Macaca mulatta: one gene and its partner. The protein of the gene in region 2 interacts with the protein of the main gene of each other region in a biochemical or structural test. Links are inferred from orthologs where the notes say so. Each region holds a gene or a part of one and is shown on either strand. Other genes may lie near its edges.

What was found. The genes of interacting proteins can lie anywhere in the genome.
Region 1: the proteins of FLNC (region 2) and XIRP1 form a complex in vitro, tested with the Homo sapiens proteins (2 studies listed by BioGRID and IntAct, with this or other methods). The link is inferred for Macaca mulatta from reciprocal best matches to the Homo sapiens genes FLNC and XIRP1.

What each region holds. Positions count from the first base shown.
Region 1 is NC_133407.1:101,491,536-101,498,843, forward strand, and holds the start of XIRP1 (xin actin-binding repeat-containing protein 1), read right to left. Parts: upstream 4,307-7,308; 5' UTR 3,931-4,306; intron 1,071-3,930; exon of another isoform or gene 995-1,070; 5' UTR 991-994; coding exon 1-990. UniProt on the Homo sapiens protein: Protects actin filaments from depolymerization. Required for correct cardiac intercalated disk ultrastructure via maintenance of cell-cell adhesion stability, and as a result maintains cardiac organ morphology, conductance and heart beat rhythm.
Region 2 is NC_133408.1:168,490,070-168,496,253, reverse strand, and holds the end of FLNC (filamin-C), read right to left. Parts: intron 6,174-6,184; coding exon 6,036-6,173; intron 5,767-6,035; coding exon 5,651-5,766; intron 4,446-5,650; coding exon 4,313-4,445; intron 4,214-4,312; coding exon 4,037-4,213; intron 3,841-4,036; coding exon 3,622-3,840; intron 2,957-3,621; coding exon 2,747-2,956; intron 2,628-2,746; coding exon 2,440-2,627; 3' UTR 1,687-2,439; downstream 1-1,686.

The DNA of each region.
Region 1 (7,308 bases), on a different chromosome or scaffold from region 2:
CTGGAAGTCCTTTTCATCTACTAAGATCTCCCGGATGGCATCCAGGGGCTGTGTCTCAAAGATCCAGCGAGTTGCACTGACATCGGGCCGGGACCCCTCCTCCAGGGAAATCCCCCGGATCACCCGCACCTGGCTGGGGTCCTGGTTGATGGCGTCCAGAGGCCGGGTCTCAAAGAGCCAGCGGGCAGACCTCACCGCGTTGCTTTGGATCTCCTCCCGGCATGCGGCCTTGACCTCATGGATGGCACCCTCTGCATCCTGGATGGCACACAGGGGCTCCGTTTGGAAAAGCTTCACTGTCTTTTTCACATCACCCTTCAGCTCCTGGATCTCTGAGCGCAGTTCCAAGGGGCTCTGCTCCTGCAGGGAGGGGCGGGAGCCCAGGCGGTCCAGCGGCCGTGTCTCAAAGAGCATCCTGGTACCCTGCACATCTCCGCTGGCTGCAGGTTCCCTCACAGTGGCCTCCAGTTCCTTGGCCTGCCCTGTCAGCTCATCCAGTGGCTTTGTCTCAAATAGCCAGCGGGCTGCACGAACGTCCCCTCCACTTGGCTGGGGCCTGGTTGGCTCCTGGTCTGTGCTGTTGGCAAAAGAGCCTTCCTCAAACTTGCGGGAGGTGGCCTGGACGTCACCACCCGGCACAGGCTCCTTGGCAGCTGGCCTCTCGTGATCTCCAATGGCATCCAGTCGCCAGTTCTCAAAGATCCATCGCATGCACTGAACGTCACCCTCAGTGGGTTCCTCAGAGCCCAGGACCTCGGCCAGATCCTCGGCCACAGCCTCGGCCAGATTCTTGCGGAGCTCAGGGTGGATGTGCCTGTAGAGGCGGCGGAGTTCACTAGCTTGCCGCTGCTGGTGGAACTTGGAGAAGGACTCCTTGGGTGGTGGCAGTGGCAGGTCATCCAGGGCTGGGGGTGGAGGGAGGGGCAGGTCCTCTGCAGTTGCCATCCTCATGGTTGGTGTGGGGGCCACCTGTGTCTGGGCGTCGGCCATCCTTCTGAGAAGAAGGGGCAGAGATGAGGATGGGATGGGGGGCCTTAGATCTAGATGTTCAGCAGGGTAGAGGCTGGATGCTGGGAGAAATGGCAGTAAACAGGGCTCAGGGTCAGAGTAGCTCTCGGTGACTTACACTTAGAGACTCCTTGCCTCTCTTTATGTGCCTGGCCTGGGTTTCACTTTGCTGCCTGTTGTGGGCAACAGGTCTTGAACTTAGGACATATGGACCCATTAATCACAGTGGGTTCCTGCTTTCCCTACATCTCCTGGGTTGCTAGGGAGCAACCATGGGACAACTGGACATGACACTCTTTCCTTTAGCTCCATAAGGGATGCCTAACTGGACAGGCCCCATCCTCGCCTTCCTTTGTTAAAAATCAGTGTTGCCCTAGAAGACTCCCAGGAGAGTGGCCTGGGGGAATCCTGACTTTTGGAGTCCCAGCCTTGGAGGGACAGGTCTCTAACCTGGTGACTGATTTCCCATGGAGACGAGATTCCTTTGCAGAACACCAGAGGGCAGACTTGCCATGTTGACCTGGAGTGCTGCCTAACTTTTCTCTCTTGGCTGTCAACGCACTCCAACCTTTCCCAGGCCCAAGGAGGCAAGCGGAGGCCAACAGCCCATGCTAGGGCAGAAGCAGTTGAGGATCAGGGCTGGGAAGCTGCTCATCAGATATCTCGTGGTTAGGCCAGATCCAAATTCTGAATCTCTGGTCAGGGTTTTCTGCACTATACTCCAAGACTGAGAATGTCTGAGCTAGGGGGATCTCAAAGGTCTTTTAGCACAACCATTTATAAATAAAGACGAGGGAACTTAGGTCCAGAGTCAGATCTTGGTGAATAAATGGAAGGCAGTGCTGGCTTGGGGTCCCTAGACTCTATTTAGGGCATGGGCCCAAGACATAAGAGGGTAGGAGGTGTAAAGCTTTCTTATTGGCCATAGGACCAGTCTATTCCCCAGCAGGCACCCCTCGGAGGATATGAGGGCGACACCTACCAGGGAGAGGACCATGGGACCAGGGTCCTTTCTGCAGAGACAGCTCTGCCCCTTGCCCCTGGAGACCGCTCTCTAAGCAAGCAAGCACAGCTTCAGGGGCTCGGACTCAGGGGGGCTTCAGGCTAAGCCCTACCCCTCCCTGGCTCCACCCCCACCCCTCAATGGCCTCCCACCCCTCAAGCGCTTCTCTGGTCTCTGTCCATGTATGTCTTATCTGTCTTGTGACAGGTGTACTAACAGTCCCCAGAGGCCAGTAGGGAAAGAATGGGAAGCATGTGCCCCCTCCCGCTGCCCCTGACCCACTGCTCTGCACCACACAGGGTGCTAAATATAGCTGATGTTCTGGCCTCAGAACAGCAGCCCGGGGCTCAGAGGGAGGCTGAGGCCCAGCCAGTGGGGATCCTCAGTGCCCTTGGCTCACCTCGTCTCCTTCGTTACCCTGGGCTCCCCTATCCTGCCTCCTGGGCTGGTGTCAGGCCCCTGGGCTGCAGTCCAACCAGGTGCTAGAACCTGGACACCTTCCCTGGCCAAAGGAGTCTGCGGTGGAGGGAAGTACTGGCAGCAAGTGGGGCAGGACTTCCTCCCTATGGCTACCTCAGAAGGAGGAGAGAGGAAATTGAGACCTCCTGACCCCATGCCCACCCTGGCATGTCCACCAAAGACATCAGAACCTTTGGGGAGTGTGAGCTCTGAAACCTGTAACCTGAGTCTCATCAAAGCTCTGCGTGGTTTTCTTTCATTTCTGAGCTCCAACGAGGATCCCCTGCCCAAGGCAAACCTGTGCCTGTCTCCACCTCCACTCCATCCTGTCACCAGCAGGGTGACCTGAGCAGATGGCATGGGCAGACCATCAGCTTCACCCCACCCCCACCCCCAGGAATTTCCAGAATCTCTGCTAAGGCCACAGGCAGTTATTATCATGGAGTCCAGGGATGTCAGGCCTAAGGACCCTCAGAGATCACTCAATCTAAACCCCTTATTGTTCAAATAGGGAAACAGAGGGCCAAAGAGGGGAAAGGAGCTGTCCAAGGAGGCTCAGCAAGGCAGTAGCAAAGCCTGAAGCATGCCTCCTGACTCCTGGCCTTCTCACCACCATCCTTGCCTGGCTTGAGACTCCTGGGGCAAGTGTAGAGTCAGGACAGAATTCATAACTGGGACCAGACTTAGGTGGGGTGACCCCAAGAACTGTCCTAAACCTTGGTCTCCTAGGGCTGGGCCAACCTCTCAGGATGGTCCCACTGCTGTCCTCAGGTTACCTCCTCCTCGGCCCAGCTGGCTCCATATGTCTTTACATCTGGGCAAATTCAGATCCGGTCTCCCTCCCCTGAGCGCCCCAGATCTGCCCTGGGGGCTTTCCCACTGGGCAAGACCATGGGCAGAGTCCAAATTCCACCCCAGGTTTTAGGCTATGATACGTAGGGAGCTGGGCTCCGGCCAGCCCCTGGGAGCTATGCCTGGGCCAGATATGCCGAGAGTGTCATCCACAGCAACTAGGCATGGGGCTTGTTCTAGCAATGCACACTCAGGCCTACCTACGGCCCCTGCTCCCGCCTCTCTTCTGTTCCTCCTTCCTCCAGACCCTGGGCCTGCCTGAGGCTTCCCTGGGAGGAAGCCCCGAAGCCTGAGGCATTCCATACCTGTATTTTAAAAATCACAACTCCAGGCCTTACTGGATCATGCCAGCCTGGCAGGACCCTGTCCTTTCTGCTAGCTTCAGGCCTGTGGCAGCCACTCTGAGAGCTCCCATGGGGCTCACACTGTCTTTACCTCCTTTGTGGGTTCTTTATATCTGAGACTTCCACTCACCTCCTCCCATGCATGCCCCTCAATCTCCTTCCCCCACTCAGAGCCACCCCTAATACGTCCATTCCAGGAGGGCAGGGGATCCCAGCTGTGAACGCCAGCCCTGCCGTGGAAGGACAGAGAGGTAGGTTACTCACCGAGGGTCTCTCTTGGCTGATGGGGTGTTTGGGGTCTGTAGCAGCTGTGGTCTCAGGGTTCGTCGTTCCTCTCGAGGTTCTTGTTCAAATTGGTTCTGTTCTGCTGGCTCCAACAGACACCTTCTTGCTGCCCTGGCTCCGGGTCTCTGTCCCCTGCCAGCCCCAGCAGCTGCCTTTATCTTGCTGGCTAGTGGGTGGGCCGTGGTGGGGGCGGGCGGGAGAGGCTATGTTCAGAGTATTAAGTGGTTTGGTTATTTTTAGGTCTTGTGGAAGTCACTCTTCCATCCTGGGGAATCAATTACATGTCCTTCGGGCTGGGGAGGGGAAACAGAGGGGGAGAAGCTTCATTCATCCAGAGTCTGATCTGGGGATTGGGGTCAGTGACTCAGCTGGGTTGTGGGGTTGGGGGTGTCCCAGACTATTTTGAGAGAGTGAATAAGAAGGGGCATCTGACACCTTGGACAGCTTGCCCCCGTCTTGTGAGCCTCCATCACTCTACTCTGGTCCTGCCTCTGACTCTTCCTGACGTGTCTCCACCCACTGTGCCAGGAGACTGGAGGTCTCCTGAGGGCAGGCTGGGCCTCTCCTCCTCTGTTCTGAGCCTGAATACCTCTGAGTGTGAAGCTCAGCTCTTTTTCTTCCCCATTCCCTTCTGCACTAAAGAATTCCTTCTTTCTTATCCATTCTTCCCCGTGCCCCACAGCACAGGTCAACACGGCCCTGATAAAGCTGGATTTTGGGGGAAGACATCTGAATGACAAGGCACAGCTCTTCACTGGGCCGAGATTGGCCAGGTCCAGCTCCTCCTTTGCGCCACCATACCCGGTTAATTTTTGTATTTTTAGTAGAGATGGGGTTTTACCATGTTGGCCAGGCTGGTCTTGAACTGCCGACCTCAGGTGATCTGCCTGCCTCGGCCTCCCAATGAATGAATTCCACAGCAGGACTCCGTGGTTTTCATCCCAGATTAACTGAGTCCTTTCTCTCTTCTCGACTCTTCCCTCTGACTCAGGGCCCAGGCTTTCTGGGAACGGAGGGGAGGGGAAGGGCGGCATGCAGGGAGCTGACCGTGGGGTTATTTCTGACCCTGGAGTCATCAGCTTCCCAGTCACAGATGGAGTGGCAGCAGGGAGGGGGGTCACACCTGCCTCCTCCTTTGCTTACCAGGGTCTGAGGGGCCCAGCAGGCCCAAGAGATCCTGGCAGTCAGACCAGTGTGGTGAAGGATATCAGGGGACCATCCACAGAAAACTTGAAAGAGGTGTTTCATCCTAGGTGGGCCTGGCCCAGGCTCCATGCCTGTGGGTATGCAGGTGCATTCTGTGGCCTGGCACATGAGGTCTTCCTTCTGACTCCCCAAATGCCCTCTGGTACCAGGGGATGATGCCAGACATTGCTCACTTTTTCCATGTAGTCAACGTCAGTCCTGCAGTGGCAGCTGGAACGGGGGCGAGGACATCTGGGAACCCCTCTTCCTGGTCTCCCTCCCTCTTGTCTCTTCCCCTGCTCTTTTCTAGCCCTCTACCTGTCCCGCAGGCTCCTGGCTCTCTCCAGGAAGGGCAGGGAGACCAATGTACCAGTGTTTCAGGGAAGGGGCAGCCTTAGGTCTCTCCGAATTTCTCCCAGGAGGAGCTTTCTCCCTGTGGATGCTGAAAGTTCCTACTTTCTAGGTTAGTTTTGAGAATTGAAGGAATTATTATATGAAAAGAGTGCCTCCAGCCAGGCACGGTGGCTCACACCTGTAATCTCAGCACACTTTGGCAGGCTGAGGCTGGTGGATCACTTGAGGTCAGGAGTTCGAGACCAGCCTGACCAACATGGTGAAACCCTGTCTCTACTAAAAATATACAAAATTAGCTGGGCATGGTGGCACACGCCTGTAATCCCAACTACTTGGGAGGCTGAGGCAGGAAAATTGAACCTGGGAGGCAGAAGATGCAGTGAGCTGGGATCGCAACCCTGTACTCCAGCTTGGGTGATAGAGTGAGACTCTGTCTCAAAAAAAAAAAAAAAAAAAAAAAAAAAAAAGTGCTTGAGAGCACTTAGCACATAGCCTATGCTTTAGAAGAGCCAGCTATTATACTGTATATAACACAAAAAAGAAAAGCTCCTAGGTGGAACTAACTTTTGTATTCACCTCCTGTGATAACCATGGGAGAAATTCCTCAGGCCTCAGTATTAGGAAAGAGGCTCTTCTTGAGCACTTGGTTTCTTTGTATCTAGTACAGCTGTGCTGTCCAATACAGTCGCCACTAGCCAAATGAGGCTATTTAAATTTAAGTACATTAAAATGAAATAAAATAAAAACTCAGTTATTTCACTACACTAGCCATATTTGAAGTGCTCCATAGAGACAAGTGGCTAGCAACTATTATATTGATTTTGTTTGTTTGTTTGTTTGTTTGTTTGTTTTTGAGACGGAGTTTCGCTCTGTTGCCCAGGCTGGAGTGCAGTGGCGCGATCTTGGCTCACTGCACCTTCTGCCTCCCGGGTTCAAGTGATTCTCCTGCCTTAGCCACCCCAGTAGCTGGGATTACAGGTGTGTGCCACTGTGCCCAGCTAATTTTTGTATTTTTAGTAGAGATGGGGTTTCATCATGTTGCCCACACTGATCTCAGACTCCTGACCTCAGCTGTTCCGCCTGCCTCGGCCTCCCAAAGTGCTGGGATTACAGACATGAGCCACCGTGCCTGACCTGAAACTATTATATTGAATAGTGCAGAATGTTTCCATTATTGCAGAAAGTTCTACCAGATAGTGCTGTTATAGATGTTAAAATAAATAAGTAAATAATTTTTTTCTGGAAGGAGAATTGTCAATAAAATAAACAATTTTTATAACATATGGTGTTTCTCTTTGCCTTGGCTGCTAGGAAACTCAGAGCTAAATTTTTAAACTAGCAAGTAGACTTTATGGTCCAAATTCTCTGTAATGAGGGTGATCAACTTTTTGTTGTCTGTCTCTGAGGAGTTTTGCAAGACAAGGGACTTTCAGTTTTAAAACTGGAAGAGTTCTAACAAAGCCAGGACAAGCTAGTCACTCTATGTGTAATGATCTAATGATATCACATCATCATGATATTAATTATGAGGCTGTCAAGGTAGTAAACTAGGCATTATTTACTGGAGTATCTTTAGTGGCATTAAGAAGGTAAACTGAGGCATAATAAATTTTTTAAGAGTTTATGTGTGCAAACAACAATTTTCGAACCAGGCAGTCCCAAACCAGAAGTGGCTTGGGAGCTCTACTGAGGGAACACAAGCGGGAGCTTTTTATAAGACAGATACAGAAATAAAGCAAAGATAATATTTGATTGATTACAGTTATAGAGTTGTCTTATTTGGTCTATCCCATTGGAAAGTCCCTGGTTATATAATTA
Region 2 (6,184 bases):
AGATGAGCAGGCTGAAGGGGAAGGGGCCGCTCTTTCCTCCTCCCTTTTAATAAACCAGCACTCCTGGTGTCTGGCATGGGGTTTGTGAGTTTGGAGTGCTTGTGAGTTTGGAGTGCAAGTGGTCTGGTCTGGCAATTGTATGTGTGATAAGCTTGGGATTTGGGCACGCCTGGGTTTCAATCTGTACCCCACTACTTAGAGGTATGGTTTCAGACTCATCACTGAAATTCCCAGGGCCTTGGTTTCTTCAGATGGTAGTAGCCCCACCTCATAGGGCTGTTATGAGGATTAATGAGGGAGGGCCTTTAAGGCTTAGCACCCAGGGCCACACTGGCTGGCTGGAAGTGGGCAGGCTGGAGGTCTGTGAGCTTATCAGCCACACACAGGTGGAGGCAGCTGAAGCTGAGGGGGAAATTAGCACATCTAGGGGTGAGAGTGAGGGGGGCAGAGAGTGAGGAGGGGTGTGTGGGAAGAGGGAGGAAGCACAGAGGCTGGTGAGAGGTGAGAGAGGTGGGGAGGTCAGGGATTAGGAGTTGGGGCCTCGTGGGTTTTTCTGCCAGGCCCACCACCGTGTGCTGAAATGCCCAGGTGGGTCTAGATTGTGGGATCAGGTGAATGAAAGGCGTTTTCCCTGCTCCAGCTACTCAGCTGCTCATTTATTCACTCATACCCATTCACTCACTCATTCACACCCAGGGCCAGGGAGCTCCATCTGGTGGGGGGCCGTGGATACATGGCCACAGCTCAGGGTGGTAACTGCAGCTAGAGATGTGTCCCAGGGCAGTTTGGGAGCTGGGGGCACTGATCCAGGAGGGGTAGGGAGGGGTCCAGGAAACTTCCTGTTGGCCAGGAAGATGAAGAGGGTGGGGAGGCAAGGGTGTTTCCGGGAAGGGGCCCAAATTCAGCATGGGTGCCCAGTTAACTAGTGGTGAAGGGAGGTTGGAGGTGGAGGGTACAATGGGGAGTGGGCTTGCTGCCCAACTCATACGGCTGCGGAGGCTGCTGTCTGAACCTGGGGGGCCTTGGAGACCTTGTGAGGAAGAAACTTTACTCTGGAGCAGGAGGGAGTCACGGAGGGCCCTAAACCAGAGAGGGGTATACTCTCTTTAAAGTGACCCCCCTCAAGCTGCAGCATGGAGAGGAGGTTGGAGGGAGCTGACCAGGGCAGGGCTGGGGCAGGAGTTCAGGAGGGAAGCCCTGTGCAAGCTCAGTGCTGGAAACGGGCATGAAACAGGCCAAGTTGATTCAGTACCAGACTCGGAGGAAGGTGCTGAGTCTGCAGGTGGTTCTGTCTGCCTGCTGGTTGAGGAATATTCCTGTTTGAGTCAGTGCTCACTGTTTTAAAGTCTTAATTTGAAAAACATCCTTGAGGTCAGGCTGAACTGAAATTGGCCTCCCAGGGGTCCTGGGGCAGTACTGTAGAACACAGTATCCACACCCTGTACTGTCCACGAACCCTCCCGCTGGGACCCCTTCCCACATCCCCGAGCCCCCGCCCCCAGTTCTTTCAGGCACTCTGCCAACATCCCAGACCTCACTTCTGCCCCAGGACCTTCCCCTCGACCTGGGTCAATCTTCCAGGGGACAGCCAGGCTGCCTCTGCCTACCCAGGGCCCAGTTTCTCGTGTGGCAGGCCAGAGGGCAGCCAGCCACAGAGAGCACACCCGCAAGGAACAGCCAAGCCTCTGCGACAGCCGCACTTTATTTGGAGTTTTCCACCTAAGCAGCTCCCAGCTGAGCTGCATGACATGTGCAAAGTCCCCTAGAAAGCTGGGCCTCGCAGTGTGTAAAAAAGGCCCCCCATGGGGCAGAGCCGTGCAACCATTTTAAAAAAAGAGACAGTGAGAGAGAAGTCCGGCCCCCTGGGAGGCTGGCTTGGGCAGAATGCACATCGCTCTGGCCGGTCCATGTGCCAGGCCACTCCTGCTGATTCAGGGGCTGTTTTCTTCTCTGATTGTGCTTTCCTTTCCAAGTCCTTAAAAGTCTGGGGTTGAAGCTACCAGAGGGACCAGACCAAGTCCTCAGGGACAGGGGGGTGGCTGGCCGGCGGTGCAGATTGAGGGTGACCTCACACACAGACACCCACAACACAATGCCCTCCCACTGCTCAGCCCTGCCAGAAAACTCAGGGCTTCCCTGGCCTCGAAGCCCACTTGTCAGCCCCTCATGTCCCAGCCTCTGCCCCTGAGCCTGGCCCCAGTCTGTGAGTTAGCATATCACGTTCCCGGGGAGGGACACTGTCCTAACACAGACAAGGTCCTCCAACCCCCGGGGCGCAGTGGGGTGAGGAGGCTGTGCCTTCACTTCACCCCCAAGGCAGGTGTTTGTAGTGTCTGATTCTGTGCGTGTCTGGGTGTGGCACGTGTGTGTGTGTGTGTGTGTGTGTAATATGTGTTTGGCTGGAGGTGGGGGCTGAGGCTGGGGAGGCACTTTTGGCATTCAAGGGACCTTGACTTTGAAGGGGCTTCCAGGGACACTTTCGTCGCCCCACTTGACGATGAGGATGTAGTCCCCTTTCTCCTTGACGGTGTAGGTGACATTGTACACCCGGTTCCCCATGTGCTTCACGTACACCTCCTCACAGGGGGTCTTGGGGCCGTGCACGCCCACCATCATCATGTTGGTGCCTGGAGAGGGAGGCAGAGGGACAGGCTCACACCAGGGAGTCCCCTACTGTGACCCACACCCTGCTCCCTGACGGCCTCTTGCTCACACCCTGGGAGACACCCTCCCCCCCGCCACCTGCCTGCTTTGCTGCAGTCCACGGTGAAGGAGTTCTTCTGGCCTACGAAGGCCTGGGACAGCCCAGGGCCCCGAGTCACCACCTTGCTGGCATCTGAGGAGAACTTGGGGATGGAGCTGTAGCTGGAGCCCCGGCTTGAGGAAGACTTGGTCACAGTCTCCACCAGAACGGTGGATGTTTCGTGAAGGCTGTGGCCTCCGGACAGCCTCGGACCTGAGGGGCGGGTGGAGGGGGCACAAACCTGGTCAGGAGGGCTTCCTGTTCTTCCCCAGGCAGGGGACCCTCGGCCAGCATTGCCACCCTGTGGGACTCACTGCCTGCATTCGTGGCTCCCCTCAAATTCCTCCAAGGGCCACTCTAGGAGCACAGCCTCATTCCCAGCCAGGGCCCTGAGCTGCCAGCTCCAACTGGTGCTCCACCCCAGGGCTGGGGCCTCAGATGCTGTGACCTTCACCCTTGCAGGCTTTGGGAACTCAGGCTAACTCACAGGGTTAGAGTCACTTTACAAAGGAACACCCACCCAACGCATCCTACAGACAGCCTCAAGAGGGGAGCTTGCTCAATACTGACTGTGTCTTCTTGGAGCCGAGGAATATGGGAAGCCAGGAGGGGAGAAAGTGATGCTAGAGCCTGAGGAGCCAGCGCAGGCCAGAGCTGAAGGAGTGAGGGGCCGCGATGGAGAGGAAGAATGGGACTTTTACACCATCATGCCTGACTCCACAGAATGTGTGCTGTGTAGAGCCAGGCCCACCTCTAGCCCTGGTAAACTGACCATGGTGTCTGGGGTCAGACTATGGTCTGGATGTGCGTGGCCACCGGAGCCCTCCAGGCTGGGCTGGGCTGCAGGTTGGATGGACCTCCCTGAAGCCAGCACTCACCAGTGACCTTGGCCTTGAAAGGGCTGCCCACGATGTGCTGGGGGCCACCGTACTTGATGGCAATGAGGTAGTTGCCAGGGGCCATGGGAGTGTAAGTGACCACGTGGCCCTCAGGACACTCCCGACAGTCCAGCTGCACCTTGGAGGGGCCATCAATGGTGACAGACAAGGCCCCCGAGCCGGCGTTCAGGGTGTTCACGATGAACTCTGATGACACACCTAGAGGCCAGAGGTAGCAAGGCTGAGGGCAGGAAGGGCTTGTGGCCCAAGAGGGGCTAGGCTCCAGTTCCCTGGGCAGCCTCTGTGGGGACTCCTGGCTCAGGAAGCAGGGCTCCTGCCTCTGGAGCAAGGCAGCACCAGACTAGTGGCCAAGTACCCCTAGAAGTCACCCTGTTCCCCAGCTCCAGGCACTCACCAGTAGTGCCTCCCTCGAGCCCAGGACCATAGGCTGACACCAAGCCTGGGTCCCCAGCCTGGCTCTGCTCCCCAACGCGGATCTTGAAGGGACTTCCAGGGATGTGGGCACCATTGAACTTGACATCAATGGAGTGGACGCCATTCTCGTGGGGGATGAAGCGGATGGTATGCTTGTCTGTGGATAGAGGGTTGGTGGCTTACCCTCCATCCTTCCCCTCCCCTTCTTAGAAGGCCCCAGCCCAGCAGGGGGTTGGCAGGGGCAGGGCCAGCTCACCACTGTCTAGCTCAGAGACGTAGCACTCCTCCACAGCCCCCGAGGGTGTGTGCACCCGGGCATCAATCACGCCCCGTGCGCCGTTCAGCTGCACAGCAAAGGACGCCGGCTGGTTCACCTTGAGCCCTGTCTCCTGCAAAGGCCAAGGAGGATGCTCAGACTGCTGGGAGACCAGGGCTGGAGCACTCTTCTCTGAAGCCCCACATGGTGCTCACCGTAAGCCCAGCACAAAGGCTGCCACCACCCTACGCCCAGCCTGGCCCCTGCCTGCCAGACCAGCCTGGGAGCAGGAGGAGCCAGGGTCTGGTATGCAACCCTATACGTGCACCTGCTATCCTAGCTGTGCTTGGTGTGTGGGCGATGAGAGATGATGTACCCTGTCCTGGCTGAGGAAGGAAGGGCCCCACTCTGTGTGAAGCAGGCCGAGAGCAGAGAGCAAGTGCCTGATGGGCTGTGTGGGCTGGTGGTGCCAGAGAGCTCTGAGGTAGGAAGCTGAGTTTGGCTGGACTGGCCTGGGAAAGCTTCCTGGAGGAGGTGGACCAACAGGGAGGACCCAGAAGAAGCACAGAAGGGCTCTGGGGGAGGGATTGGAGCCTGCATTGGGGAACCCGGTTCAGGAGTGGAAGGAGGAGATGCACAAGGACCCTGGATGGGCTAACGTGACCACCCTGAGGGGCAGCCAGGAGGCGCGCGGGATAAGGAGCTGGGGTGAGGCCTATTCTATGCCCCTTATGCACAAGCTCCTTTACAGTGTGTCCCCTGGACACCTGGCCCCCTGGTTTGCCTGTTTCAGTGTGACTTGCTGAGAGCCTTCCTTGCACATGTCCGCTATGACAGAAGGAAAGGAAGACACCACATCTCTAGAAGTCAGCAGCAAGAGAAAGCAAGCCAGGCTCCCATCGGCCTGGAGAGGACGCAGCCCAGGCTCTGCAGGCCATAGGCATTCCCTTTAGAGGAGCCTCTCACACCCTCTCTGCAAACTGGTTTACTCTTAGTTTGTATAGATTTTATACTCTCATTCTTATAAATGTTGGCATCTAGCATTCTTAGAACAGGAGAAGGTGGAACAAACTAACAAGAAATGGCAGGTGGCAGTAGGACAGGCAAACCCACCCTGAGAAAAGCAGAATGAGGCGTGGCATGCCTGAGTGTAGGGGCTAGCCCACAGGGTCGGAGCCCACCGTCCCCAAGGGCCCTGCCTTGTGCCTTACGGGAAGGGACTTCTAACTGGCCCTTCCAAGGTCACTGCTAAATCCCTGGCCCCATGGACCTGCTGTCCTCAACTCTTACCCATCTCTCAGATAGCAGAAACCCTCCACCCCCACCCTGGGCACAAACCTGGAGGCTGGTGACGGTGAGACGGCGAGCGTCATCCGAGAGGGAGGCCACAGGCACCACAAAGGGACTGTCCGGGATGTGCTCATCATTGAACTTGATGGAGACCTCATAGTCACCTGGGGAGAGAGACCAGTCAGCATAGGTTCCGGGATGGAGGTTGGCAGGGTGGGAGCCTCCCCACTCTGGCTTTATCCCAGGATAGACTCCGTGGTCAGCACTCAGACCTGGAGACAGACACATGTTTCCGAGGGTGTGGGGTAGAGGGAGATGGGGGCCCCGGGGAGGGGAGTTCTGTGGCCCCAAGCATCTCCTGCCTCTCCAGTGAGCAGAAACCCAGTCTGGAAGGTCAGGCAGGCCCAGCCCCACTGCCAGTGTGGACGCCCACCTGGTTCCTGGACAACATAGGAGACGCCGCAGGAGCCATCTTTGCGATCCTCAAATGCAATCTCCGCCTTGCTAGGACCCTCCACAGCAATGGACAGGCCCCCAGCACCGGCCTCCCGGGTCCAGATGCTGAACTCGGCTGGGGACAGG